Linked DNA regions of Ovis aries. The protein of the gene in region 6 purifies or fractionates together with the protein of the main gene of each other region. This does not show direct contact. Links are inferred from orthologs where the notes say so. Each region holds a gene or a part of one and is shown on either strand. Other genes may lie near its edges.

Region 1 (3,500 bases), about 43 Mb from region 6:
CGATCCCCGGGTCGGGAGAATCCCCTGGAGAAGGAAATGGCAACCCACTCCAGTACTCTTGCCTAGAAAATTCCACAGAAGGAGGAGCCTGGTGGGCTACAGCCCATGAGGTCGCAAAGAGTCGGACATGACTGAGCGACTTCGCTTCGCTTATTTCCTGCAGCCTAATATCCTCAGGGGTCATCTGTGTGGTTCCCGGTGTTAGCCCTTTATCCTTTCCTGAGACTGAACAGTCTTCCGTTGTGTGGCTGTGTCACAGTGTGATTACCCATCCGTCTGTCCACGGACACCTGGGCTGCTCGCCACGTGCTTTGCTTATGGTCGTTCCAGACTCGAGCTCCCTGGGCACAGGATCACGTGTTGTCCTGCCCCAGAGAGCTCCATGCCCAAGCCCAGCCTGGCACAGCCCTGGCAGAGGCTCCGTGGGGACTTATTAAACTGAGCTGATGGAACTGGGTCACATGGGCAGAGGGATTTTTCCGTTCTGTGCATTAAGGACATTGGCCCTCAGCTGCTCTCTCCGAGGTCAGCGTGCGGCTCTCCTGTCTCTAAGGCTCGGACAGCTGTGCTTGTCCCCTCACCGGGAGGGAGGTGCACCAGCTGCCCCCTGTCCTTCCCCCACGCTTTCCTGCCTGGTGGACTCATGGGAAGCAGCCTGCAGGGAGCCGGGGTGGGGGGCAGGTGGACCCCGCTGTCCTTGGGGCAAGCCGCAGACCAGGCAGCTGAGGGCGCTGGACGCAGAAGCCTGTGTCTGGGGTTAAACAGGGGAGGCAGACCCAACCCCGTGGATCTGGGTGGTGGCTCAGAAAGGCTTGGCGTCTCCCGCTGGCAGAGCAGCTGTGCGGCTGTGGGCAGGCCACTTGACCTCCTGGAGCCGCTTGCTTCCAGTGGGGAAGCGTGACACTCACACGGGCGGATTGAGATGGGCCCTGGGCAGCTGGGCGGGGGCAGCCTCGTGGTTATTATCTAGCCCTGGCGAAGTTCAGGCCCTAGACACCGTATGCCTTTTGCGCTCAGTGGGCACCCCCTTTGAGGCGCTCTGCAAGGGGCAGCAGTGATCAAGGGACGGCTTCTGCCAGGCCGTGGAGTCAGAGTCTGTGATGTGGGCACAGACCCTACCTGGTACTTTCCTTGGGCTCACGTGAGTAGGGACCACCTAGGGCAGAACCTGAGAACCCACAGAGGCATTGTTGCTGGTTTATTGGCTTCCCCCAACCTCCCTGCCCCCCCAAATTTCAGGGCATTTTTAGCATCCTTTTCCAGGTCAGAGCTGCGCCTGGGGCAAACTTTGCCGGTCAGCGGGAGATGGGGAACTTGTTTCCAAACCTGGTTCTCTCTGCCAGTTGCTTCTGCCCTTGTTAGAATTTCAAGGAGAGCGCCCGGAGGAAGGCTGAGATTGATTTGGCGTCACTGATGGCCAGGATGTGGGCTCAGGCATGGCTGATGGGTTGGGAGCGGGCCTGTTTCAGGGCCAGCACTGCTGGCTTCCTGTGGGGGCCAAGCAGTGGCCTTGCAGGAGATGAGGTCTAGGCCCATGGGGAGGCCTGGCATGGACTGCTGGGTGGGCTCTAGGTGCAGCCCTGGGGGCTGGCATGCCAGTGAGTGAGGCCGCCCCCAGCCGGAGTAGCCCTTGCTTACGGCCTGCTCATCACGCCACGGTGTCTCCGTTTCCAGTTCACTTTCGCTATGTGGTGTTCCATCCGTTCCTGGACGAGATTCTGATCGGAAAGATCAAAGGCTGCAGCCCGGAGGGAGTGCACGGTAACATCGGCCCTGCGTCCTCACGCGAGACCTGGGAGCATGCTGGGGGCAGGCGCTGGGCCCATAGCCTCTCCAGGTGGTCAGGGGAGCGGCCACCTAGACGAGCAGAACCTTCCCGAGGGGCTGCTCAGCCGTCCGTCCTATAACAGTGCGGACCCCAGCCAGCTCGGGGCCTTGGCCAGGAGGCTGAGACGGCCTGAGGGAGGCACCGGAGCTGGCGGAGGTGACCCGGGCTGCTGGCCCCAGTAGTGCAGGGTCCACCTTGAGTTTGGGTGGCTGCTCAGGCCGGGCAGAGGCGTGGGGCTCCGAGGTGGAGGAGGGGTCCCCGGGCAGCACAGACTTGGGGCTGGCCGGTCTACTCACGTTGTCACCTGCCTATCTTCCAGTCTCCCTAGGGTTCTTCGACGACATTCTTATCCCTCCGGAGTCGCTGCAGCAGCCGGCCAAGTTGTATCCTCCCAGGGTGAGAGCTTGCACCCCTCCACAGAAGGGTCCCCACTCCTCAGGGTGGCTCTGGGGCCTGTGACCTGATGCTGCTGGCCTCTGTCCACCTCTTTTCTCATTTGCTCCCAAAGCACGGACCTGCCTGTACGTCCCACACGGGCCACGGGGCCTGCGCCTGCATTGGGGCTGCCAGGCCTGGTTCTAGCTCGCCTCGCTCAGGTTGTCCCCTCAGGAAGCATCTCAGGTCGCCTCCCTCTGAGGCCCCTGGCTGGCCCGCCGCCCCTCCTCGGCACGCGTGTGAGGGCCTGGTGCTGCAGGTCCCGGCCCTCGCCCTGTTGCACTGGGGTGGCTGTTTCTGTGGGTGCTCCCCAAGACTGCTCACCGGGAGAGACCCCATCTTGTCCCAGCTGTGCCCAAAGTGCCCAGCAGGGGACCTGGCAGCGAGGAGAGGCAGGGCCCACCTGCAGGCTGCCACTGGAGGGCAGTATGTCCCTTCAGTGTGGGGTCTGCTGAGGGAGGGGCCCTGGTTTTGTGTGTGCACACGTGTGCGTCCACGTGTACGTGTGTGCATGCATGGTGTGTGTGTACGCATGCACAGGGCCTGGGGCAGGGTCTTTGTGTGACTCTGAAACTTGTCAGAAGACTTGCCCTGTCCTGTTGGAAACCGAGACGGTTCCTGGGCTGCCTGCCGGCAGAGAGCACTGAGGCGTGCAGAGGCGTGCGGGATTGCGCCGTGCGGAGCACATGGCCAGCTCCGGCCAGCGCTCGGGTCGACCGTGGGGCCTGTGCGGGGCGCCCTCCACGCGTGCTGCGTCATTACCACCCCGCCGCAGCCCCGGAGGGCAGGTCTCCCTAGCGCCCCTGGTATACCGACAGGGGCCCTGAAGCACGGAGGCTGGGCCCGGCCTGGAGGTGGGCGGTGAGCGAGGTTTGAACTTGGGAGCCAGCCTCTGAGAGGGCACACAGGTGGGGTCCGGGTGGCGGTGCAGCTTGTGCTCTGCTCCGAGCTCCTTCTGCTCTGATGTCCGTGTTCCAGGCCTGGGTCCTGGCACTCTGGTCACTCCATGGGCTCCAGGCGGCCCGACCTCACCTCTTGTATGTGGGGCTGAGCCCTCTCTTCCTGTGACTTCCTGGGCAAAACATGTCAGCCTGCAATTGCCTCTCCCTGGGGGTTTGGGCACTATGGGAGGAACCCCCTGCCTCCAAACCCAGGGCTTCACCACTAGCCTGGTTGTTGCCTTGACCGTGTGCCCTGTCCAGCGACGAGGCAGAGCAGGTGTGGGTGTGGGAGTACG
Region 2 (3,926 bases), on a different chromosome or scaffold from region 6:
TTCTTCCTCCTCTGCTTGTCTCTGTGTCTTTCCACATCCTGTCCACCTACAGATCCTATGAGCGCTGCCTTCTGGACACCCTAGACCTGCCCACAGCTCATCCTTCACTTGAGGCCTCATCTATCTCTGGCCGGGACGGTCCTCCCTAGCCCACTCCTTGGTCTCCCTGTTTCTGCCCTGTGGAGATGCTGAAAATGGCTGCAAGCACAAACTTCTCAAACCCAACCAGCAAGGGCTCCCAAGATCTGCCCCACCTGACCCTCTGACCCACAGGCCTCCTTGCTGCCAACATGCTAGGCCTCAGGGCCTTTGCACATGCTGTACCCTCTACCTGATACACTTTCCTCGACATCCCCAGGGCTTCTACCCTCTCACCCTTTGGATTTTTGTTGGAACCTTCCATGACCACATTTGAGACTTCTCTATTTTTTCTTCCACAGCACTGTCTCCTTCTAACACGCTGTATCATTTACTTATGTCCGCTGTTTCTGTCCTGTCTCTCCCTGGCATGTAAGGATGCTTGGTCTGTTTTGTTCCCCGTCTCTTTGGCTCCTCATTAAATACTGAATCATTGAATTAATATATTACTGAATGAGAAGTTACTGACACAAGTAAGCTGGGCTGAGCAGGCCTGAACAAACCTCCTGAACGAACTCGGAGGGGAAGGGCCGATGCAGAGGTTGTGCACTCTTGGGGTATCCAGGCAGGGGCTGGGCTGGGGCTCAGCTGCATTTTGTAAGCACCAGGAACTATACCAAGCTCCTCCCAAGTACGAGCATCTCTTTAGATCCTCTAAAATGGGGGACACTTTATTCTTTTCATTATACAAAACGGAAAACCGAGGCTCCGCTCACACTTCCTCAATCTCTCCAGATTCTAAACACTGTCCAGACTGACGTTGAGCAAAAACCACCACTCCCGAGAAGCCGTGCCGTCAAAGCATCGCGAGAACTTCCGAGGGGCGGGTGGGCGGTGCTGTTTGAAAGCTGCTCGCGCAACCAACCGCCGCTTTAGGAAGGCTAGGGCTGCCCTTGGCAGTGCCGCTCCCGAAGGTCGCTGTATTCAGGCGTTCGCCTGCGACAGCCCTGCACGGGTAGACGACGTGTTGGGGGCCTGATCAGGACTCGGAGTAGGCACTGTGGGCCCTGGTCGTGCTGGTCGCAGGCGCAGTGTGTGAGAGCGGCGGGAATCATGGACGATGAGGAGGAGACATACCGGCTGTGGAAGATCCGCAAGACCATCATGCAGGTGAGCCGCGCGGAGGCAGCCCTCCTTGGAGAACGCGGTGAGGGCGTGCCTGGCTGCGCCAGACGAACTGGGCACGTGGCGGCCGAGGCGTGAACGGCGGGTGCTAGGGCCCGTTGATGAGGACGAGCCTCTTCACCCGCGGCGGCGCGGCTGGAGCGGAGGAGTCGAGCCCCAGAGCCCCCAGAGAAGGGGGTCAGGATCTCGCTCGAGCTGGAGAGAGGGAAGGCGGGAGACGCTGGGCCGCCTTGTATTTGTGTTTCTGGAGGGTTGTGGTGTTACAGCCCCTGATCCTTGAAGTTCTTAATCAGTAAGAATTGATAACAGGCCAGACTAGAAGGTCAGGCAAGGCTTTGTTGGAGCTTATGCTGCAGCAGGAGGGAGCGAAAACAAGCAACAGGCGCCCTTCTTAGGTCGTCTTGAATGGGATAATGGGATGAGGGTGGGCGCGGGTCCAGGGGTCATGCCAGAGTGATGATTCGGGTGGTCTGCCTACCCTCTGGGTGGTGCTGTGTGCAGGGATCAGGCCTGGCACCCAGCTTTTGCTCCGGCACCTCAGAAGTGGAGGTTTTGACTTTCTGTTGTTGTCTATCATTTGCTCGAGCTGGGCAATTGCACGGTTATTTTTAGTCCCGCATGGTTTCTGGGTATTCTGTTGCTGGAGAAGATGTTTGTCCAAGTGCAGGCGCTGCCGCAAAGGGTCCCAGCTCCCAGCCTGTCTTATCAGCACCACCGTAAGTGCATAACGCAGAATCCCGGGTTCTTGACGGTGGAAGGAACCCTGGTGGGCTGGTCTGACTGCTGTCTGGTGGTTACTTAGATGCCTTGCCCACCAACTCAGTCTCAGTGTCACAGCAGTCACACCAGCTTTTTCTGTGTACCACATGCTTTAAGCCACCATGTGAGAGGGGTCCAGTGTGATGCCACAAAGACTTGGGGCCTTGATCAAGAGCACCCAGCCTCCTGGGAATTGTGCTGGAGCTAAGGCTGGGCTATGACCCAGCCTCTTCAACACTTGGCAGAGCTACTCAAGACAGGGCGGGAGCAGCTGCGCTTCTACCTGATGGTGTCGGGGCTGCGGGAGAGGAGACCCAGGTCTCTGAATGGAGACTCGGCGGGGGGTGGGGGATGTGGGCAGGGCTGGGTGGCAGCTCCAACCTTCCTTTGTCTGGGTCCTCACCTAGTCTGTGTGCTCACAGAGCCCTAGTTTCTGAGCAGGACCTTGAACTGCTGGGCCTCAGGCTTTTGCCTGGTTTCACAGCCAACACCCGCCCAGCCTGCTGTACCTGTCAGACCTACGCCCTGGGGCCTGACTCTGGACTCAACATCTCCGCTTGCATCCCAGGCCTTTCCCCAGTCTCCTCTGCGGTGGGTGAGGCCACCGGAGCTCTGGCTGCTGTCCTATCTCCACTGTGCGATCGATCACCTGCCCTTTCTCTCTGCAGCTGTGCCATGACCGTGGTTACCTGGTGACCCAGGACGAGCTGGACCAGACTCTGGAGGAGTTCAAGGCCCAGTTTGGGGACAAGCCCAGTGAAGGGCGGCCAAGGCGCACGGACCTCACGGTGCTGGTGGCCCACAACGACGACCCTACTGACCAGATGTTCGTCTTCTTCCCAGGTGAGGGCTGCTCAGGGCCAGCTCACAGCAGCCACCTGCTGTGCGCCCCAGAGTCATGCACCCACCCTTATCCTTCTGTCCCCTGCCCTCCTTGCTCTGGGAACCCCTTCTCCAGCTTCCCTCTTCTCGATCACCCATCCATTCTCTCTGGGCCTAAAGATCACATTTCCAAATACAGTTTCATTCTGAGATTCCAGGGCCAGGACCCCAACAGAGGGACTTTGAGGGCAGAGTGGGTTAGTGGAATGGGAAGTGAGAGCAGCTGGAAGGGGCGGACATACTGCACACAGACCCTGGGGCTGCCCTAGGTGCTGACCTGCTGGGCTCCTAGGGTCCGGCTGTTCTGTGGCAGGCCCTGCATGCTGCCAAGACCATGAGGACCCCCAGTGCTACGGCATGGAGATGGGTGGTCTGTGTCTGGCAGGACCATACTCTCTGGGTCAGCTCACCTCAGCTTACCTCTGAGAACCCCAGCCCTTGTCTCATGAACTCCAAGACTAAACCAAATCCAGGGCTTCCCAAACCTCAGAGCCACTGAGCCCTGGCCAAGCCCAGACTCCCAGACCCCACTTCCAGAAGAGGTCCCTGAGGTCCAGGGCACCCAGGGCACTTGTCAGCTCCCATGTGACCTGGAGGCAGCCAGCTCCCCCATTCTGGGAACCAGCTGCCCAGTTCTTGCTTTGCACACGGGGAGGCTGAGGCCCAAGAGTGGGAGTGGCACCGCAGTGCCTTGGCAGAGCCAGGCTAGAACCTGGGTGCCCGATGGGAAGGGGCCCTGCAGCACTGATCAGCCTGTGCTCTGCCTGCAGAGGAGCCCAAGGTGGGCATCAAGACCATCAAGGTGTACTGTCAGCGCATGCAGGAGGAGAACATCACACGTGCCCTCATTGTGGTGCAGCAGGGCATGACGCCCTCTGCCAAGCAGGTAAGCCTGCCCCGCCAGGGTGGGATGGAGCCTGGCCAGCACCTCTGTCCCCAGGCCCGGGGACCGGCTGCCACACTAGCTCCCAGCCACCCTGGGAGCATCCTGACAGGTACTTACCTTTCTTGATGTGAGATGA
Region 3 (3,941 bases), on a different chromosome or scaffold from region 6:
CCTGTTATATATTTTCATAACACTCCTAACACACTTTTCATACTTTTCCTTCACAGTACTGATCACAGTTTGTTAGTTACATATCCATGAGTCTATCTGATTAATGTAAGCTTCCTATACTAGACTCAAGCTCCATAAGGGCAGGGACCATAATGTTTTTTTCATCACTTTATACCATAGTATCTGGCATAGAGCAAATCCTTGGTAACTGCTTCATTGGTTAACAATGAAAACATTCATTTAACAATCACTATGAAACGTTCAAGAAAGAATCTACAATTAGGGCAAGTCACAGATCTCAGGGTCAAAATTCCTTACCTATCAAGCTCAGTTTAGGAACGAGGTACATGTCCTTTTCATTGATGACAAGAGTGGGGGCAGGTGGTGGTGGCCCAGTATCTGAATTCTCAGTGGCAGGCACCAAAGGGCAACGCTGCACAAAGTGTGTGTCCACTAGTCGCACAAATGTGTTTGATACCTCGGCATAGTCCATGGTCTTGCCATCTGTATGACAGGAGGAAACAGGCAAATGAGACGGCCTCAGGTAGCTAAGGGTTCACTCCTGCATCCAGTCAACCTATACTTTTGTTAACAACTGTGGATACAGTACTGACCCTCCATAGTCTCTGTGAGCCTATCTGCTACTTTCTTCACAACAGCTGACATTGTCATTTTGCCATTCAACAACAGCTCCTCAACAATCAGCTCTCCAGTATCACTGTATAGTGTTTTGGCGGTGTAGATGTACCGGGGATACCTAAGCATTCGCAACACCCGGTTGCACTGGGCTTCATACTCCACCACACCACGTTTGTGCACTTGATATATCACCAAGTTGTGCTGGATGAGGACACAAAGGGCTTTTTTTACCTAGAGAGGATATAAAAGAGAAGAAAAATCTGAAGATGCAGTTCATTATTGCTGGCAAGTTTTGTCCAACAGTTTCCTAAACATCAAGAGACAGCTGCAAATTGCTCCCTCTCTCCACTGGAATAGTTAGTGAGAATCGAATGTCAGTGGAAAAAATCAGGAAGATTCCTTACTATGATGTTCATATTTCCTCCAATCTTTATTTTTCAAAGTACAGTTTACTTTCCCTATATTATTCTCATTCTTAAAATGTAGTACTGAGATTAATAGACTCATTATGAATAAATGAAGTATGGGATAGGAGGAGCAAAGATTTGCCTAAGAAGCCACAAGGAGCCAGAACACTTTGAGAAGCAGAACCTTGGGCCCTATGTCTCAATCTCTCTCTCCTCTCAAATAACACCATTCTGATTCTAGGGCAGACTTTGCTCTTTTCCATTTTGTGGGGTTATCCGGTCTCTTACTCATGTCTGACTCTTTGCAACCCTATGGACTGCAGCACATCAGGCTCCTCTGTCCTTGTGGGGCAGGCAGTAACAATATTAAAGGGTAGGTAAAACAAATTAATGAAATGAAAGCAAATTGATGTGATCCAAACTTACCTGATCTAGTGATGTTCCTGTGTCATGGGCAATAACTCTTAGGGGCTGGCTGCCAGTTCTGATTAGGTGGACTCCAATTTTTTCTACAATCTCTCCAAAATGCTCTTGCAGCAACAAAGAACAGAGTTTAATTTCTGCTTGAGTCATTATGCTGAGGAGTCTCAGAGCTAGAAAAAAAAACACAACAGTATGATGGGAAGTTTTTCTTTTATGTTGGGAGCAGAATTGCTGAATGTAAATTCATGTTCTTTCTAGATGGCAATTTGACAGTAGATATACCAAAAGCCTTAAAATCTTGCATCTCTTTGACCTAATTCTTTTGTTTTAGATATTCTGTTCCAAGGGAATGATAAAAATATGTCACGTCAGAATACTGATATTCTGGGAACCTAATAAGTGATTATTTCAATAAATTATGGTATATGCATGCAATGGAATTCTATGCCAACATTCACAATACAATATGTATTAGTGTAGGAAATTATTCTGTAACTGAAAGATGCGGGTTACAAAGCAAAATGTAGAGGAAAGTTCAATTACTGAAAAAATCCCCACATGCATGCATGGAAAAAGAAGACTGGAAACCTATGTATATGAGATTTATCTTTATGGGATCATGTATGATTCTAATTTTCTTGAAAGACTGGGTGTAGATGGTTTTGCGATCTATCACAGACTTTAGATTCTATACTTCATTGTTTCACTCCTATTGGGAGTGAACAGGCAATGACAACTTTGCAAAGTAAGTTAGGAGGTAAATGATAGCTTTTCAACAGGGTGTTTCAGATAGGAGATGAAGTATGTTGTTAGCAGGGCAGTACTTAATTTTGAAATTTCGATTTCTTGACTAAGTAGACACAAAAAGAAACAGACATGGTTGACTATATAATCACAAGTGCTATCAAACACTGGTTTGTTCATCTATTTCTCCCAATCCCTCAGAAGCCAACCAAGACTATGCCTTTCAGCTTCACTATCCCCATCCACAGGTCTTTGGGGACACATCCCCAGACCCTCTGCCATCCTCGAAAAGGATTTCTAGGGAGCCTGGCTCCTGGCTCTTCACTCCTTTCCTGCTGGTTCCGGTTCCGGAGTGGATGCCCGGGTCCAGAGACAGGGCTGCCTCGTTCAGACAGCATTTTCCACTAACCTCTGGGTCAATGCAACGTAACGCCGCCGAGTTCCCCACGACTGCTTTGTGAGGTTCCCGCTGACCGCCCGGGCAGAGGGGGAGCCCAAGGTTCTTTGGCGCAGGAGCACGGCCACCGAGGAGGACCGGCGAAGAGGAAAAACATGTGCCGATCTACCCCAGCGTTTCGGTGGTTTCCGGGGACGCTCTTTCCTTCTTCTCGGTGGGAGTTTGGAGGACCGACGAGGGGCTGTTTGAAAAGCCGGCCGGCGGGCGGCGGCGGGCGGACTCTCCTTCCTGCGCCTCTTTGGTTCTGGGAGGCGGGCCGCGGGGTCAGCCGCCGCGCCACCGCCTCTGTGGGCCGGGCGGACTCACGTGACTCGCGCGGGCTCTGGAGAGGCTGGCAGCACTGAGGAAGCGGCGGAGGCGGCAGAGGAGGCGACAGCAGCCGGGAGCCAGCGGCCTGGCGAAAGACCGGCCGGCTGCCCTCTCGGACGGACAGCCGTGGCGAAAGAGAAAAATGGCGGAGGCTTCAGCGGCCGGGGCCGGCGCGGGCTCTGCGGTTGCCGCGCACCGGTTTTTCTGCCACTTTTGCAAGGGCGAGGTCAGCCCCAAACTACCGGTAAGAGCCCGGTTCCTCTGCCCTCCGGCATCGGCCCGGATTCCTCTCCCAGATGGCCTGGAGTGGGGGTTAAGCTTCCCACACAACCCGGATTCACCTGACATCGGTCTCTCAAGTACCCTGCTGCCCGGGCGTCTCGGCCCAGGCTCCGCAACTCTCGCTCGGATGTTCCACCTGCCCTTCACTTTCTCTCCCGTCTTGACCAGCTCCTCCCATCCCCCCCGCCCCCCCGCGCTCCATTTTTAATTTTTTTTGCCTTCTTTATTTAGCAAGTTCTCTTCTGACACGTCGCCTGTTTTCATGCACTCTTCTTCACCTTGTCTCCTTCCCACGATGACCTCTCTTTTCCTGCATTCCATACTCTTTCCGCTGTTGCCTCTCACCTTTATTCCTTTTCCACTTTTTACCAGATCCCCCCCCCCCTTCCCTCTTCTCATTAAAGCAAAATAGCGGATTGCTGAGAATTGCCCTTATTCGGTCGTCCCTAGGAAAGGAAGCAAGAAAACGCGGAGAGAAAGAGAGGGTTGGAAGGTAACTGGGATGGAGAGGGGGATTTTGCTCTTCAGGGGTTTCCAGTATTCTTCTGAAAGTGAAAACAGCAGTGTGCTAATGACTTGCAGACTGCCTGCGCTCCCTATCACTATTGAAGGAAATGGCTTTAGGAAGAAGGCAGAACATATTGTTTCAACTTGCATATTTTGATTGTCATGCTGCCAGT
Region 4 (4,135 bases), on a different chromosome or scaffold from region 6:
GGGTGGGGTGAAAGGGTGCTGTCAAACTCTTGGCTCTATGTTACTTATTTTTTATCTGATTTCAAAATGGTGTGAACTGGACAACCTGGGGTGGACTTCACCAACTCCAGAACCAGAGGTCTCCTCGGTATACTTTTCCACCTGTCAGGGAGCCAACTGTGCTTACCTGATCAGCCACCTGCCGGCTCAGCTGTCCCTTAAAGCCCTTCATCCCCAGGAACTCCCCATCCTCTTCTTCAGCAGCAGCTGCATCAGCATCCACTTCTTCCTCACGCAGGCGCTGATGCAGCTCACCCATGTCCTCGAAGCTGGAGCCTGAGGTATCATCCATGTTCTCCATGTCAATCACTGCTGAGCCCCCACCCTGTGAAGACAACAGACCCTAGAGTGCAGGACCTTTCTGCTTCGTCCAGTTGAGTCCTTCTCCGTTCACCACAAGGTTTGGGGCTAGGGGACTTGAAATCGCCACAGATGACGCCACTCTCTTCTCCTCATTTGGTCTCAGAACCCCTGCTTGTTTGGTGCTCTGTTCTAGTCTGGGGAACCTAGTCCCTGTCTTCCATACACGGCTTTTTCCTACCTTCCCTACCAAGGCCCCAAAGGGCTGCAAAGTGCCCATTTCCTTCATCTCTCCCAACCCCAAAACAAGGCTATGCGCACCAAGTGTGGTTTTGGCTAGTGAATCCCATCCACCCCCAAGCCCACTCCCGCCATGCCTGTCTCCGACTGACTTTCCTAAACTTGTGGAAAGCAAGAGCAATTGGGCCCAGATACCTAAGGCCCCTGGCTGGAGTACCAGTCTGGAGCTTTAAGACCAGCACTAGCCCCACTGCCTTTCTTGTGCACGAAGACTCAAAAGAAGATAAAAAGTGTTGCAAATGGACCAGACTTCCAGGCTCTGAGGGAGAGTTCAGGGCGGCTGCCGGCCCAGGGGCTGCGGGCAGCCGGAGCCGTGGGGCCATTACCTGGATGTTTTCTTCGAACCCTCCCCATTCCGGGCCGGTCCCGTTTCGGGCGCCGCCAGCCGGCGCCGCCGGAGTTGCCATGTCCCTCGAGGGCTCCCGTCGCTGAAGCCCGTGCTTGTCCCGCGCGCGGAGGAGGAGTGGGAGAGATGCGGGCCTGAGAAAGGGACAGGTCTAGGGACAAGAAAGAAAGGTACTATGGGTCGGAATGCAAAAAAAGGAGAAACCCGGATGTTTGGCTCAAACCAACTTCCGGTAGCTGGGGACGTGGACGGAGGCAAGGCACAGTCTCGCGATATTTAAGATTCTAGGAGGTGCGTTGCTACAGAAACGGAGGCGGACGACTAGTGCGCACGCATCAGTTAGGTACTCTGGTCACGTGGAGGAGTTGAAGATGGCGGCGGCCCAGGCTGTGGAGGAAATGAGGACCCGCGTGGTTCTAGGGGAGTTTGGGGTTCGCAATGTAAGTCTTGTGGCCTTCAGCTCGGGAGCAGAGTGAATCAGGGATGAGTTGGCGTCAGAGTGGGGACGGGCTTGGCCTCGCTGCCCCTTCGCAGACATTCTCGTCTCTCTTTGCTCTAGGTTCATACCACTGACTTTCCCGGTAACTATTGCGGCTACGATGATGCCTGGGACCAGGACCGCTTTGAGAAGGTAGGTGGAGCTGGAACTGTGGGATCGGACTTTGTGATATGAGCAACCTGTGCCTTAGAAGCTGTCCTTGTAATTTCCAAGGCGCAGCAGAAAAGGGCAGCTTGCAGCAAGGGGCAGAGGGCGGTAGCTGGAAGCGGGGTTGTAGCTTCCCCCACCGGTAGTCCTAACTACGACCACAGGAGCCAGCAGTTAGGGCTAGAGTCCCTAGTCCTTGTCTGCCTAGTCAAGAACGAATTCAGGCGAGGAGGCAGAAGGTACAGAGTAAAGTACGAAGTTGATTGAAAAGAGAAGTACATGTAGAAAGGCACACGGGCAGGACCCTCCCATGGGATGCACACTCACCTCTTAGCCAAGATGGATCTGGAAGTGAAGGCTTCTGGGAAGAGCAAGACTCGTTATGGCCTGAATTATCCTCTGACTTTTGACCCCAAGTAGCCTTTCTGCACTTGTGATGTATCTTCCTTATCCTAAAAAGGGGGAAGCGGAGATCCCTTAATCCTTACTCAGACGAGGGATTTCGCCTTGCTTTGTTCTTGCTATAATTATTTCTTCAAGATATTTACTAGAGACAAAGACTGTTGACTCTGTTTCTGTTCTCTCTTCGTTTCTGGAGGGCAAACAGGAGGCTGATAGGAAATTCCTCAGCTGGAGCCCGTCTGTCTCCTGCCATACTTGTGATGTGGGACATGCTAAAGTAAAGGTCCAGGTTCTTATTCTACCTGTCCAAAGTGCAAAAAAATGTCACACAGAGAAACTGAGGTGTAGAGAGAACAAAGAAGCAATTTATTAAGGAGAAGGGAAAGCAGGCACTCACAGAAGAATACGAGTGTCCACACGAGTGAGGAGACCACCTGAGGGTCTTTCTAGCCCCACTCCATTATTTTAATTCCTTGAATGGGTGCAGGTTTCTTTGTTGTTGTTCTTCAGTTGCTCAGTTGGGTCTGACTTTGTGACCCCAGGGAATGCAGCACGACAAGCTTCCCTGTCGTTCAGTATCTCCTGGAGTTTGCTCAAACTCATGTCCATTGAGTCAGTGATACCATCCAACCATCTCATCCTCTGTCACCCACTTCTCCTCTTGCCCTCAATCTTTCCCAGCATCACTCGTTTGCAGTGAGTCAGCTCTTGGCATTGCGTGGCCAAAGTATTGGAGCTTCAGCTTCAGCCTCAGTCCTTCAATGAATGTTCAGGGTTTATTTCTTCTAGGATTGACTGGTTTGATCATTTGATCTTCCTTGTTGTCTAAGGAACTCTCAAGAGTCTTCTCCAGCACCACAATTCGAAGGCATCAATTCTTTGGCACTCAGCTTTCTCTCACATCCATGCACGGCTACTGGAAAAACCATAGCTGTGACTATATGGACCTTTGTCAGCAAAGTGATGTCTCTGCTTTTTAATGTGCTGTCTAGCTTTGTCATAGCTTTTCTTCCAAGGAGCAAGTGTCTTTCAAGGCTGCAGTCACCGTCTGCAGTAACTTTGGAGCCCAAGAAAATGAAGTCTGTCACTGTTACCATTTTTTCCCCGTTTGTCTGTCATGAAATGATGGTTCAGATGCCATGATCTTAGTTTTTTGAATGTTGAGTTTTAAGCCAGCTTTTTCACTCTTCTCTTTCACTTTCATCAAGAGGCTGTTTAGTTCCTCTTCGGTTTCTGCCGTTAGGATCGTGTCACCTACGTATCTGAGGTTATTGATATTTCTCCCAGCAATCTTGACTGCAGCTTGTGCTTCATCTAGTACTCTGCATATAAGTTAAATAAGCAGGGTGACAATACACAGCCTTGACGTCCTCCTTCCCCAATTTTGAACCAGTCCATTGTTCCATCTCCAGTTCTGACTGTTGCTTCTGGATCTGCATACAGGTTTTTCAGGAGGCAGGCAATGTGGTCTGGTATTCTCATCTCTTTAATTTTCCACAGTTGTGATCCACACAGTCAAAGGCTTTAGCTTACTCATTGAAGCAGAAGTAAATGTTTTTCTGGACTTCTCTTGCTTTTTCTATGATCCAGAGGATGTTGGCAATTTGGCCTCTAGTTCCTCTGCCTTTTCTAAATCCAGCTTGAACATCTGGAAGTTCTTGGTTCACATACCATTGAAGCCTAGCTTGGGGAATTTTGAGCATAATTTTGCTGGCATGTGAAACGACTGCAGTTGTGCAGTAGTTTGGACATTGTTTGGCATTGCCTTTCTTTGGGATTGGAATGAAAACTGACCTTTTCCAGTCTTGTGGTCACTGCTTAGTTTTTCCAAATTTGCTGGCATATTGAGTGCTGTACTTTAACAGCATCATCTTTTAGGCTTTTAAATAGTTCAACTGGAATTCCATCACCTCCACTAGCCTTGCTCATAGTAATGCTTCTTAAGGCCCACTTGACTTATTTGATTAGGGACGGTCTATTTATTATTGGGAGGATGGGTGGTTATAACAGCTTCTCTTGTGCATCTGTCTCCTAAAGCCACCACACTAAGAGCTTTCCCCCCTTTAATTTTCCCTTGGAGTGAAACACCAGGTTGTATAGAA
Region 5 (4,143 bases), on a different chromosome or scaffold from region 6:
CTACATATATATCAATATGGATAGATACTAGAAAAAAATAGGTGAAAAAAGTCAGTTGCAATAAATACTCAGTTCAGTTCAGTTCAGTTCAGTCGCTCAGTCGTGTCCGATTCTTTGCGACCCCATGAATCGCAGCACGCCAGGCCTCCCTGTCCATCACCATCTCCCAGAGTTCACTCAGATCACGTCCATCGAGTCAGTGATGCCATCCAGCCATCTCATCCTCGTCCCCCCTTCTCCTCCTGCCCCCAATCCCTCCCAGCATCAGAGTCTTTTCCAATGAGTCAACTCTTCGCATGAGGTGGCGGAAGTACTGGAGTTTCAGCCTCAGCATCATTCCCTCCAAAGAAAGCCCAGGGCTGATCTCCTCCCGAATGGACTGGTTGGATCTCCTTGCAGTCCAAGGGACTCTCAAGAGTCTTCTCCAACACCACAGTTCAAAAGCAATAAATACTACTAGTATGATTAATATTTATATTTATGTAAAATCCATAACAATAAAAACAAACTACCTATTTCTATGGATATATCTATCCACGTGAATATATCCATATATATTCACATAAATTCACAATAGAAGGTCCAGAAGGAAACGCAGTGTACTAAGCTGTATAACGGTTACCTCTGAGGAAGGGACTTAGAGACCGAAGGTAAAAGAACATTAGTACCTTATCTACAAAGTTTTCATATTTTGCAATAATTCACATATTATCTGTGTAACTAAAAATTAAAACACATAATTTTAGAGAAAACTGCCTACACCAGTCCACGGGTTTGGCTTTCGGAAGCCCTGGTGCGGGTTACTGCCGAAATCCATCGTTTATTCCCGTGTGGGTTAACCTGCTTAACGTGTTAAACGTCCTACTCAGAAAACAGATTCTTAAACTGTTCTAAGATCTGTTCGGAAGAAGTGTGGGTCTAATTACTGGAGAAAATATTTTATTTTTAGTAGCCAATACTTTCTAAAATAGTTCTATAGGGATGAAGTAAAACATATAGCAAACAATCAGAAATTAAGTGTACTTGCATGTAAATGCATTAAATAGCTTTCTGGAAGGCCCCACTCACAACTGGGTAGCGTGGCCGAGCGGTCTAAGGCGCTGGATTAAGGCTCCAGTCTCTTCGGGGGCGTGGGTTCGAATCCCACCGCTGCCAGAGTGAGCTTTTTGCCCCTTGCTACCTCCTCACCAGCTGTTTTGCTACTGCGTCAGCGCCCCCTGCTGCCAGGCCAGGGCTGGCCGCCCGTATGAATGGAGCGGCGGAGGGGGCGGGTCCGCGCGCGCCGGGGCGGGGCATTGTGGGTAAAAGGAAGCGCTAGGGCCCGCCCCTCTCGCTCCCCCCACGTGTCCGCCCGAGTTTCTCCACCGGCAACATGGCCGCTGCCTGAGAGGAGAGTCTGGCCACTGCCGCTTCTGCAGCCCGCGGGTACCTGGGCCGTTGCTGCGCCCGCGTGCGGGCCCCGCGGAGAGGTGAGTGCCGTCTTGGCAGTACCCACCCGTGCTGGAGCCGGGCCGTACTCACGAGGTGGGCTTGGGCGGGGCTGCTGAGTAGGCCGGGAGGCCCGCGCCGCGCGGTGCCCAGGGGCCGGGGGCCTCTTAGGACTCCCGCGGGAAGGACGGGCAGCCTGCCCCAGGAGACCCGGGCCGGCCACAGGCTCCGACCTCGCCTCGCCGTGGCAGTCGGTGACGCCAAGGCCGAGGCTACCGGCGGTGACTCAGGGTCCCGCCGCTTTGCCCCACCCGGCTCAGGCCGGCCTCCTGTGGGAGCACCTGTCCGAAGGCAGCCGGTGTCCTGCCGGCGTGGCGGCTCGTGGCAGTGGCTGTGTGGTGGGCGTGAGAAGGGGGCCTGACCACCCGCGAGGGAGGCGAAACCCATTGGACAGTGTGGCGCGGGGCAGGCGGCCCGCCCCGATGGGCAGGGGGAGGGTGTCCGGGGCCCCCTCCTCGCCGCCGAACCGGATCAGCTCGAGTCCGGCTAGGCCTGGAATTCTCCATTCATTTATTCCAGCCACCCTTCAGTGCTAATTGGGAGCCAGCGACGTGCGGCCGATGGGGCCGGCCCTGAAGATTTGATCAGACGAGGTGTCAGTAAGCACGTCAAGTAAACCAGTAAATAAAAAAAGTCATTTTGTTGTGTTAGCTTTAGAATCATTGGAGGGCAGAAAAAGGAGAGCTTAAAGCAGTTGTCACGGTTTTCTTCATCTGTGAATTGGGGGTAAGAGGATTCCCCCGCCTCCTAGGGCTGTGATGAGAGCTAAATATAGGGTAAGACGGGAGAAGCGCCAGGTTGTAGTGTTTGTTTCGTGGCTCTGTCTCCTGCCCTTTTATATTGGAAGAAAACATTGTGCCGAGTAAGTAACAAACCTTCCCAGGGATTACGTTTCTACTTTACTTAATCTTCACAGTTTTCTGAGGTTGGTACTTTTGTTAATACCCATTTTTGGGGTGAAAATAGTGAAGATCAAACGATGCTAGACGGGGTAGAGGTACCAGAGGGCAGACCTGGGATTTGAACCTGTGCAGTTTCACTCTAGAGTCTAGGCTTTTACCCACTACACCATCCTGCCTTCCACTAAGGGAGCTCGCAGCATAGTCGTTAAGAATGAGAATAAGGCTATTTGACATCAGCTAGACCCAGGTTTGTGGCTTAGCTCTGCCTTTCTCTGGCACTGTGACCTTGGGTAAGTTACTCTCTGAACTTGAGTTTCCTCTTCTGTTAATTGGGGATGGTATCAATACATCCTTACTTAGAGAGCTATTGGACAGATTACATGAGGATGAATATATTAAGTCCTTAGAGAAGGGAGGGTCTTATGAGTTAAGAATTAATTCTTTTTGCCTCTAGGCCACCTCTCTCCTTGCATTGAGGTGGAAACTGAAGTGACTCAAAAAGGGGAGATGCCTTGTCGAAGGGGCACACAGCCAATAAGAATCCAGACTTTGAGACTGTTTACCCTGGGCCCCTTACCCCTTAATTCAGTTTTGTGTTGTCTCTCTCCTTCCAGTAGCTGGAGACTGTTTTTCCGTTGGCCTCTGTTTTTCTGATTGGCCTACAGGTTAGACTCCTGGGTGACCCAGCTGTGGCCTTCAGGCATCTTCTCTGCTCTGGACCCTCCCTTAGATTTACCTTGTCCCCTTTCCTTTGTTGAACAGTCCCCTGGTGGGGATGTTTTCTGTGCCCAGTGCTTGGAGCCGCTGCCATAGAGTATCTTTGTGGTCACAGGAAACCCTCTTGAGGTCAAGGTGGTCACTGCTGCCTTGAGGTGGTGGCCTGGAAGTGCAGACCACACCCCTGTCCTCAAGTGTCCAGGAGGCCCGAACTGTAAGGCCACCAGTCTCTGGATGGGGCTGAATTAGGATCACTGGGTAAAGGGTCTGTCACTGCCTGATCTCATGCACTGATTTACTCAGTCTTTGTACTATATTAAGTGTTTACTTCACTGTTCTAGATATTGGGAGAACAGCATGAATTTTTAAAAAGATAATAATGCCCGTATCAACTCCACAAAGTAAATTAAATCATCTCTGTTTTATGGTTGAAGCACAGAGGGTGCTCATGGAGCATACATTCTAGTGCAGAAGACAGACAACACATAAGCAAATAGACCAACTAGGTAATTCCAAGTTATAATAAGAACCATGAAAGAAATAAAACAGGGATTTGGTAGTGACTGGAACGGGTGAGGGGTGGGGGCCTTTAAGGTGACTGGTCAGGGAAACTTGTCTGTTCCTGGAGGAAGTGGGATGGGTGATATCTAGTGAAAAGGAGCCAGCCTTTTTTGAAAAGACCTGAGGAAAATAGATGATGTGCAAAGTTCCTGAGACTGGCTGGGGCTTAGCTTGTTGGAGGCCCAGCAAGATCATATGGGACCTTGGGGCCATGGAAAGGAATTTGGATTTTATCCTATGTGACAGTTGAAGAGTTTTGAATGGGGGAATGATAACTTTCCTTCCAAGGAGCAAGGGTCTTTGAATTTCATGGCTGCAGTCACCATTTGTGGTGATTTTGGAGCCCAAGAAAAGAAAATCTCACTGCTTCCACTTTTTCACCTTGTATTTGCCAGGAAGTGTTGGGACAAGATGCCGTGATCTGTTTTTGAATATTGAGTTTTAAGCCAACTTTTTCGCTCTTTCACCCTCATAA
Region 6 (3,500 bases):
CCAAACTCCTGGTCGCCCCTTCAGACTAAAGGGGCTGCCTCAGCAGCATCCCTGCCTCCTCATCTCCAGAAATGGCAGCACTAAGGTGTCAGTCTCCGTTTGTCTTTCTCAGATTCCTGCATCTCATATACTATCAAGTCCTGTTGACTCTAACTTCACATCGTGTTTTCCTAGGCAACAGTTTCTCACTACCTGTATTGTTATCAGCCTAGAGTATTGCAGGAAACTCCTAAATGATCCCTCTGCTTCTAACCTTGTCTTTTCTCACCCCAGCAGCTGGAGTGATCAGTTAAAATGGACCACATCACCTTGTCACTCTTGCTCAAAACCTTCCAGCACTTCTCTGTTGCCCAAAGTCAAAAAAATTTTACAGTTTCTCACAAGGTCTTACATGATCCTTGGGCTCTTACTCAGAAACTGTGTTTTCTTACTTTAGACTCAGTTCTAACCATTTGTCAGATTTCCCATGAACAGATTAGATACCACTCATGAAGAGTTATATCATGATAGGCTGTTTACAACCTCAGGAAGGTGTGAAGAGCAGGCCTAAGAGCTGAACGTGGCAGTTAGTTCATAGCTGTTTAAATAGGTGAACACCGGGTAAATAGGTGAACACCGGGTAAATAGGTGAACACCGGGTGATATCTTTCTTCAGCCTGGGCTCTGACCAGGTGCTAGTTGAGAGAAAATAGGAGGGAGAAAGAACTCCCTTTGGGTTTAAACCAAACTCTCTGAAACTTACTGATACTTTCCCTTTCTCAAACTGGCAAACCCTGCTTACTCAGGAAGAGTCATGAGAATAAAATAAAGATGAAAAGTGCTTGAGTCATCAAATTGGGATTAAAGTATATTCTGTTTAAGAAATCTCTGGTTTATATATGCTTGTGTGTATGCATATGTTTGTATGCATGTACATGTACAGTACATATATGATTTCCATAAAAAGGTTACAATGTAAAAATTGTTCTTTCTGTTTCCACTTACTTTCTTTTGCTTACTGCGATAAAGTAAGTCACTTTTGTTACATTAAAATAACCTCATGAAAATATTGTGATCACTGACACAGAGTTCTGATACTTTTATTGTTCTGATTCACAGGAAAAATGGCGGCTGCTTCCAGCATTTTTAAAGGTAATTAATATCTAATAACAGTTATTTTTCCAATCAAGAGTCAAGAAATAAGCCTTTTTTAAAATTAAATTTTTATCACCAACATTTTTTGACTTTGTACAACTGTGCACTTTTCTAAGTTTTAGAAATATGAGAAATTATAAGGCAGTAACCCTGTCCATAAAGTACTAGGTAGGGGATTGTAATCTAATTTTAGAGGTAGGAAGTAGTTTACATTGTCACTTGGCATAGGAATAATACAAACCAAAGTGTACAAACCAAAGTGCTGCTGGCAGAAGATTGATGCCACAGGTGGTCAGAAAGGGCCTCCTAAAGGAGGTGAGACATAAACCACATCCTCAGAGGAGGGGAGGACTTCCCAGTTGGCTCAGTGGCCTGGCAGAGTGCAGTCCATGGGATTGCAAAAGAGTCAGATACAACTTAGCAAACTAAACAACAACAACAAGAGGAAAGGAATTTACCTAAGCCGAAAGGTAGGATGTGGGGAGCATGGCTTAATAAAAGACCTCAAGAGGAGGATCCATGGGGTCTGTTGAAAACAGAGTCCAGTCTGCTTGGCTGGAGTGGATGAGTGGTTCAGACAAAGGAAGTACAGATTATAAGGTTCCTGTTATCATTGAATTTCAGTTTTAAAGTGCTTATGCTAAATAGTAGCAGGTTCCACAATGAGAGACCACTTGACACCCAGTAGGATGGCTATAGTGAAGAAAGAAAGACAATAACAAATGTTGGTGGGGATGTGGAGCAATTGGAACCCTCACAGTCTACTGATGGAGATATAGCCGCTTTGGGAAACAGCCTGGCAGTTCATCAGATGGTTAAACATATAGTTACTGTATGATGCTGCAATTCTACTCCTAGGTATTTACTCAAGAGAAACAAAAACGTATGTCCATGCAAAAACTTGTACACAGATGTTCATAGCAGCATTATTTATAATAGCCAAAAATAGAAACAACTCGAATACCAAATGATGGATGGCTAAATGAAATATGATATATCCATACAATGCAATGTTTTTGGCAATAGAAAGTGCCAATACATGCTACAATGTGGATGCTCTTGGAAGCATTATGCTCAGTGAAAGAAAAGAGGGTTGAAAAATGAGTCAGGTTTTTTCCATCTTAGTTCTGTATTATTGGCAGAAGGGAGCATGCTGGCAGATGAGGCTGGGAATTGTCAAGGGCAGATTTCTGACCAGTTTTTACGGTCCATGGGCTGCTGAAGAGTCTGGAAAGCATGTCTGTGAGAAATAGTGGAAGAGCCTCTTCAGCCTGGAAGAGAGGACGTAAAAGAGATGTGATAACTAAATGGACTGTGGTGGAGAAGACATTTTCTCCAGAAAAGACATTAAGCCCATGGGGGGGAAACTGCAGGATGTTAGACTAGAGATCATTATCAGAGTGAATTTTTCCCCCAACAATCAGGACTATTTCAAAATGGGATAACTGCTTAGTAAGCCAGTGAGATCCCTCAAAAGAGGTGTAATTAAAGCAGAGGCCCTGTGATGCTTTCTGTTGAGTGTATTCTAGAAGTGTTGAACTAATTATGTTTGAACATTAATGTAAAAAGTTGAACACGTTACAGTCCTTTTAAATCCTAAGACTTTGGAATCTGTGTTTAGCCTTTCAGGGTTTTTCATAGCAGCACACAGCACTGTCTGTGTAGCTGTACTGACTTTTGAGATGAAAGGCAGTCACTGGAGCTGATCTGTTTGTTGGTCCCTGGGATTCACCTTGCTTTCAATTTTAAATGCATTTATTTTTGGTTTCCTTAATAGAGATCCTTATTTTTCCCCCTCATTCTTCTAAAAGTGATATGAAAGACCAGATATGGGGAAATCATAAAATCACTTACATAGGAGCAAGAAAAAAAGAAAATAGGCATTGTTTGAGGGTTGGAGACATGATGCTTGATTGCTATATTTTTTTCTTGGATTTTCTTTCTTGCCTAATTTGTTAGCTCATGGGGAGTCATTAGGTATATATCTTGAATTCCAAACGTCAAGTTGTTTTTCAGGGAGGAAAGTTTGAGAGTGTTCTAGTAAGATGGAGGAGAAATGGAATGAGGACGTGAAAATAGAAAGTTTTGCCAAGTAAAATGTATGGATTTTTTGTGGTCACTTTGGTCTTGGGGAAAATTTATAGATCAGGTTAAGCCCTTTGTGTAATCTGCTATTTTGTTGCTAACCTGCTTTTATTTTTTATCCATTTAGGTGAAAGGCCTTGTGAAACAGCATATAGATTCATTTAACTATTTCATTAATGTAGAGGTAAGCATCAAATCTTGGGAAAGGATATGATTACAAATGAACTGGAAGCCAGAGTCTTTCCTCATGTTACTCTTTCCATTGCAGATAAAGAAAATAA
Region 7 (3,949 bases), on a different chromosome or scaffold from region 6:
ACTGAGTCACCAGGGTAGTCCCTCTGCACTATTGCATACAACTACTCATGTATCTACTATTACTTCAGAGCAAAACAAACAAAAAATTAAAGTACATCTTCTTTTGACCACTTATCGCCAAGTCTAGAAATTTGTCCTAGGAATAGAACCCGAAAGACTAAAGTACTTTAAAGGCACCAGATGTTCAAAACAGTGGTATTTACAACAGGAAAAAAGAACCATTTTGTGTCCAAACAGCGACACAGGCAAATCATGACACAGCCACCCAAGAATTATGCAGTTGTTTGATACAGCCACAAAGAAATGTTATTTGAAAAGGGAGGATTCAAAACTGTGGTACAATATGAAATCTCTGTGATGGGGCTGGAATATATTGCAAAAGTTTTAATAGTTACTCTGTGTGAAATTCTAACTAATGTTTCCCTTCCCTCAAGCTATCTCTAAAGTTACAGGTTTGGGAGGGGAGGGAACGATAGTAAAGGACATTTTTTATGTTTAATTACAAACGTCAGAGTCACGATGAAAGTTCTTTAAATCTATCCCTCCCAGTAGAACGAACTTCGTTTTTCAGGTTCCAGGATTGGAACAAGCGTGTATACAAGGACCCAGAGTCATGAGCCTAGGGCAGGTGCGATTGAGGCACCCCCCTCAACCGCTGCAGCTGCTCCAGCACTGTGCTCACGGCCCCATGTCCACAGCCCCACCCCAGGACCCCACCAGGAGTCCGACGAGGAGATCCCCCAAAGAGAATGAGGACGCAGCCCGGAGGTGCAGTGACCACTCCAAGGTCATCATCAAGCCGGCAATCGAGGCTCGGCCGGGCGCAGCCTAGAGCTCCAGGACTCTGAGTCGGGGTCTCGCAATCTGCCTCGCATCCCCACCCCATCCCGAGTCTCGACCCGGAGGCTCCCCAGCGACGAACTCCCACGTTGCGTCCAGATTGCCTCTCGGCCCCCAGATCTGAGCTGTGCGCCCCCACCTTATGCCCGGGGCCAAGACCTCGCGAACGTACCCTTCCCCTAGACCCTTCCCCTCTTCCTTTTTCGCCCTCTCAACCCAGCTTTTCCCGACTCCGGGAAGAACCGGGAAGAGAAGGCGGAGGCGAGCGAGACGCCGCGGGATAAATACTGTGGCCCGGCCCCGCCCACCGACATCACTTCCGCCCCGCGACAAGATGGCGGCGCCCCGGCCCTGCCACGCAGACTTCCGCCTGGCGCCGAGACTGGGAACCCGCTGCGCGTCGCGTCGGAGGTGAAATCGGGACACGCGTGGTGTGGAACTACATCCTAGGTGCGGAGGGGTGCGTCTTTGCCTCGTGCCTGGCCGGGGGCCTGGAGAGAAGGCGAGCCAAGGGCCCTAGCCGGGGTGTTCGGGGGAGTCCCGCCACGTGGGAGGGGGAGGAGCTGAGTCTCTGCCGGAGGGACGCGCCGACTCGGGGGGCGGGAGGCCACGTGGGTGGGGTTCCGCTCAGGGTCCGCGAGTCCTTCTCCCTCGAGTGACTTCGTTACCCCTTTTCGCCTTCTTTCTCAGGCATCATGTCGGAAGGAAACGCCGCGGGCGAGCCCAGCGCTCCGGGAGGGCCCCGACCCCTCCTTTCTGGGGCGCGGGGGCTTATTGGGCGAAGGCCGGCACCTCCCCTCACCCCGGGCCGCCTTCCCTCCATCCGCTCCAGGGATCTTACCCTCGGGGGAGTCAAGAAGGTACCCGACGGCACCTTTCTAAAGAAATCCAGCTACGCTGAATTCCAGGCACTTGGGGGTTTGACTGTAGGGCCTACTGTGTGCCAGGCGTGGTGCTGGGCCTTGCGAATCTTGTCTTCAGACTTCCGCCTGCAATTTTTGGGGAGCCTGCCCTACCTTCAAGTCAAGATACTGGGTCCAAGATGTTGACATGGCTCTCAGAGATGGCTGAATAGCAGAGAATCCTAATTAGCTCAGAAGCAACTTGAGCAGGGTTTATTTCCTTTTGGTGTGTCTTGGATACCTTTCAGAAACCCATGAAAGCCACGCAGACATAAAGTTTGCCTGCAATTTAAGAGAGTTCTGAATTTGCCCTGGATCCCAGTGTGCAGACTTCTGGTCCAAAGTATTGAGTCTTAGGTGTGATAGTAGAGCCTCTGTGTCTTATATTATGTTTGTGACTGTAGATGTGACGGGTAGACTGTAAAGAGAATGGGGAGGATGATAGAGCATAAAGCAGCCAGTTTTTGAAGGCCTCAGTTTCCCTTTGTAAATTCTGGTGGCAGTCTAACCCAATCATCAGTTTGTGAGTGCTGGCAGAACTGTCTTTCCCATTTGAACCTTGCTGGTAGAGCTCATCCTCTATAATACTGTCTGGTCTTAGCAATTTGAAGATGAAGTGTGAGAGTAGGTAAATTCCTCTGCTGTTAGAGTCCTGAGGGTTGTCCTTTCAGGAGGCAGAAACTGAGGCTGCCATTTAAATGTTTTTTGATGCCCCCTTCTATATATAGCTTCACCGTTGCCTTGGCATGACATTCCTCCTTTTCAAGCACCTGTCCATTTCAGTAAATCTTTGACAACAGTATGGAATGTGCCAAAGAGAGCCATATTGGTCTTCATCCATGGAAGATGCCCTTTGGAAGTTTTTCCTTTCCTCTGTACTTTGGGACCAGAATTTACCAAATCAGTGACTCCTGTATTTTACTTTCAGAAAACCTTCACCCCAAATATCATCAGTCGGAAGATCAAGGAAGAGTAAGTAGCTAGGCCTCCTGAATCCTCGCGCCTTGTTTGTGCGTCTGTGCTCAGTCACTTGCTTGAGTCTGACTCTTTGCCACCCCAGGGACTGTAGCCCGCCAGGCTTCTCTGTCCGTGGGATTCTCCAGGCAAGAATACTGGAGTGGGTTGCCATGCCCTTCTCCAGGGGATCTTCCCAACCCAGGGATGGAACCTGTATCTCTTGTGTCTCCTGCATTCTTTACCACTAGTGCCACCTGGGAAGCCTTGCCCCTTTGTTTACTTGCTCTGAATTTGGACTTTGGGGAAATAACTAAGTAGGTGGCTCAGAAGTTTAAATTTGTAGATTTAGTTCTTTGCAGTAGTGATTAGCGACCCTGGCTCCCAGGTGATTCTAATGTGCAAGCTTTAAAAAAATACTGATGCCTGGGAATCCATCCTTAAAATTGTTTTAACTTTTTTGCAGTGAAACAGTGATTATCTTTTTTATTTAACTTTTAATTTTTTATTGGGGTGTAGCCATTTAACAGTGTTGGGATAGTTTTAGATTAACAGTGAAGGGACTCTGCCATATATATACATGTATCCATTCTCCCCCAAACTCCCCTCCCATCCAGGCCTCCACATAACATTGAGCAGAGTTCTATGTGCTATACAGCAGATCCTTGTTGGTTATGCATTTTATTTATTTATTTTTTTGGTTATACATTTTAAATACAACAGTGTGTACAAGCAGCCACAAGTTCAATTTCTAAGTCTGTAAGTCTTTTTCTGTTTTGAAGTAAATTCATATGTATAATTTCTTTTTAGATTCCGCATATAAAGGATGTCATACAATTCTCCTTCTCTGCCTGACTTACTTCAGAGAGAGATTATGTTTTATAGCCAGAGTTGAGAGCCAATAGTTTGGGCAGAGATGGGTCAGGTTTTCCTTTTCGTTCTTTTGCATTGCAACTTTCCCACTTTCAGTCGATACCAAAAAAAAAAAAAAAAAAAATCCACATTTGGGGGCAATCTCTATAATTCACCTTTTGTGGTATAGTTCTAGTATACACTCTTCGAAAAGGTAAAGTACAGTAAACTGAAGGACTCTGCCTCATCAAGGAAGTGAAAAACGTGCTAGACCACCCACACAGGTGGGTACTGTGCTTCTCATGATATAGTTGTTGGCTCATAAACTCCCCTCCGGTGGAGCAGAGTGGTGTGGGAGAGTAAGACCAGTTCTCGGACGCAGGTGACGTCAGTAGTTTCCC

The links.
Region 1: the proteins of POLR3B (region 6) and POLR3H purify together in Homo sapiens (affinity purification with mass spectrometry; 8 studies listed by BioGRID and IntAct, with this or other methods). This does not show direct contact. The link is inferred for Ovis aries from reciprocal best matches to the Homo sapiens genes POLR3B and POLR3H.
Region 2: the proteins of POLR3B (region 6) and POLR2E purify together in Homo sapiens (affinity purification with mass spectrometry; 7 studies listed by BioGRID and IntAct, counting the BioPlex papers as one, with this or other methods). This does not show direct contact. The link is inferred for Ovis aries from reciprocal best matches to the Homo sapiens genes POLR3B and POLR2E.
Region 3: the proteins of POLR3B (region 6) and POLR3C fractionate together in Homo sapiens (co-fractionation; 4 studies listed by BioGRID and IntAct, with this or other methods). This does not show direct contact. The link is inferred for Ovis aries from reciprocal best matches to the Homo sapiens genes POLR3B and POLR3C.
Region 4: the proteins of POLR3B (region 6) and POLR1C purify together in Homo sapiens (affinity purification with mass spectrometry; 7 studies listed by BioGRID and IntAct, counting the BioPlex papers as one, with this or other methods). This does not show direct contact. The link is inferred for Ovis aries from reciprocal best matches to the Homo sapiens genes POLR3B and POLR1C.
Region 5: the proteins of POLR3B (region 6) and POLR3E purify together in Homo sapiens (affinity purification with mass spectrometry; 8 studies listed by BioGRID and IntAct, counting the BioPlex papers as one, with this or other methods). This does not show direct contact. The link is inferred for Ovis aries from reciprocal best matches to the Homo sapiens genes POLR3B and POLR3E.
Region 7: the proteins of POLR3B (region 6) and POLR3D purify together in Homo sapiens (affinity purification with mass spectrometry; 8 studies listed by BioGRID and IntAct, counting the BioPlex papers as one, with this or other methods). This does not show direct contact. The link is inferred for Ovis aries from reciprocal best matches to the Homo sapiens genes POLR3B and POLR3D.

The regions. Positions count from the first base shown.
Region 1 is NC_056056.1:218,442,404-218,445,903, reverse strand, and holds part of POLR3H (DNA-directed RNA polymerase III subunit RPC8), read left to right. Parts: intron 1-1,674; coding exon 1,675-1,761; intron 1,762-2,147; coding exon 2,148-2,211; coding exon of another isoform or gene 2,212-2,224; intron 2,225-3,465; coding exon 3,466-3,500.
Region 2 is NC_056058.1:41,257,705-41,261,630, reverse strand, and holds the start of POLR2E (DNA-directed RNA polymerases I, II, and III subunit RPABC1), read left to right. Parts: upstream 1-1,126; 5' UTR 1,127-1,191; coding exon 1,192-1,248; intron 1,249-2,690; coding exon 2,691-2,865; intron 2,866-3,674; coding exon 3,675-3,790; intron 3,791-3,926. UniProt on the Homo sapiens protein: DNA-dependent RNA polymerase catalyzes the transcription of DNA into RNA using the four ribonucleoside triphosphates as substrates.
Region 3 is NC_056054.1:99,170,396-99,174,336, reverse strand, and holds the start of POLR3C (DNA-directed RNA polymerase III subunit RPC3), read right to left. Parts: upstream 2,801-3,941; 5' UTR 2,623-2,800; intron 1,640-2,622; 5' UTR 1,620-1,639; coding exon 1,473-1,619; intron 871-1,472; coding exon 615-870; intron 505-614; coding exon 319-504; intron 1-318. Other genes in the region: E3 ubiquitin-protein ligase RNF115, read left to right, coding at 3,122-3,223. UniProt on the Homo sapiens protein: DNA-dependent RNA polymerase catalyzes the transcription of DNA into RNA using the four ribonucleoside triphosphates as substrates.
Region 4 is NC_056073.1:17,058,153-17,062,287, forward strand, and holds the start of POLR1C (DNA-directed RNA polymerases I and III subunit RPAC1), read left to right. Parts: upstream 1-1,335; 5' UTR 1,336-1,356; coding exon 1,357-1,425; intron 1,426-1,544; coding exon 1,545-1,616; intron 1,617-4,135. Other genes in the region: protein YIPF3, read right to left, coding at 167-364, 966-1,046. UniProt on the Homo sapiens protein: DNA-dependent RNA polymerase catalyzes the transcription of DNA into RNA using the four ribonucleoside triphosphates as substrates.
Region 5 is NC_056077.1:20,517,717-20,521,859, forward strand, and holds the start of POLR3E (DNA-directed RNA polymerase III subunit RPC5), read left to right. Parts: upstream 1-1,343; 5' UTR 1,344-1,469; intron 1,470-4,143. UniProt on the Homo sapiens protein: DNA-dependent RNA polymerase catalyzes the transcription of DNA into RNA using the four ribonucleoside triphosphates as substrates.
Region 6 is NC_056056.1:175,323,296-175,326,795, forward strand, and holds part of POLR3B (DNA-directed RNA polymerase III subunit RPC2), read left to right. Parts: intron 1-1,098; coding exon 1,099-1,131; intron 1,132-3,346; coding exon 3,347-3,403; intron 3,404-3,487; coding exon 3,488-3,500. UniProt on the Homo sapiens protein: Catalytic core component of RNA polymerase III (Pol III), a DNA-dependent RNA polymerase which synthesizes small non-coding RNAs using the four ribonucleoside triphosphates as substrates.
Region 7 is NC_056055.1:43,365,492-43,369,440, reverse strand, and holds the start of POLR3D (DNA-directed RNA polymerase III subunit RPC4), read left to right. Parts: upstream 1-1,149; 5' UTR 1,150-1,290; exon of another isoform or gene 1,291-1,342; intron 1,343-1,530; 5' UTR 1,531-1,535; coding exon 1,536-1,700; intron 1,701-2,670; coding exon 2,671-2,714; intron 2,715-3,949. UniProt on the Homo sapiens protein: DNA-dependent RNA polymerase catalyzes the transcription of DNA into RNA using the four ribonucleoside triphosphates as substrates.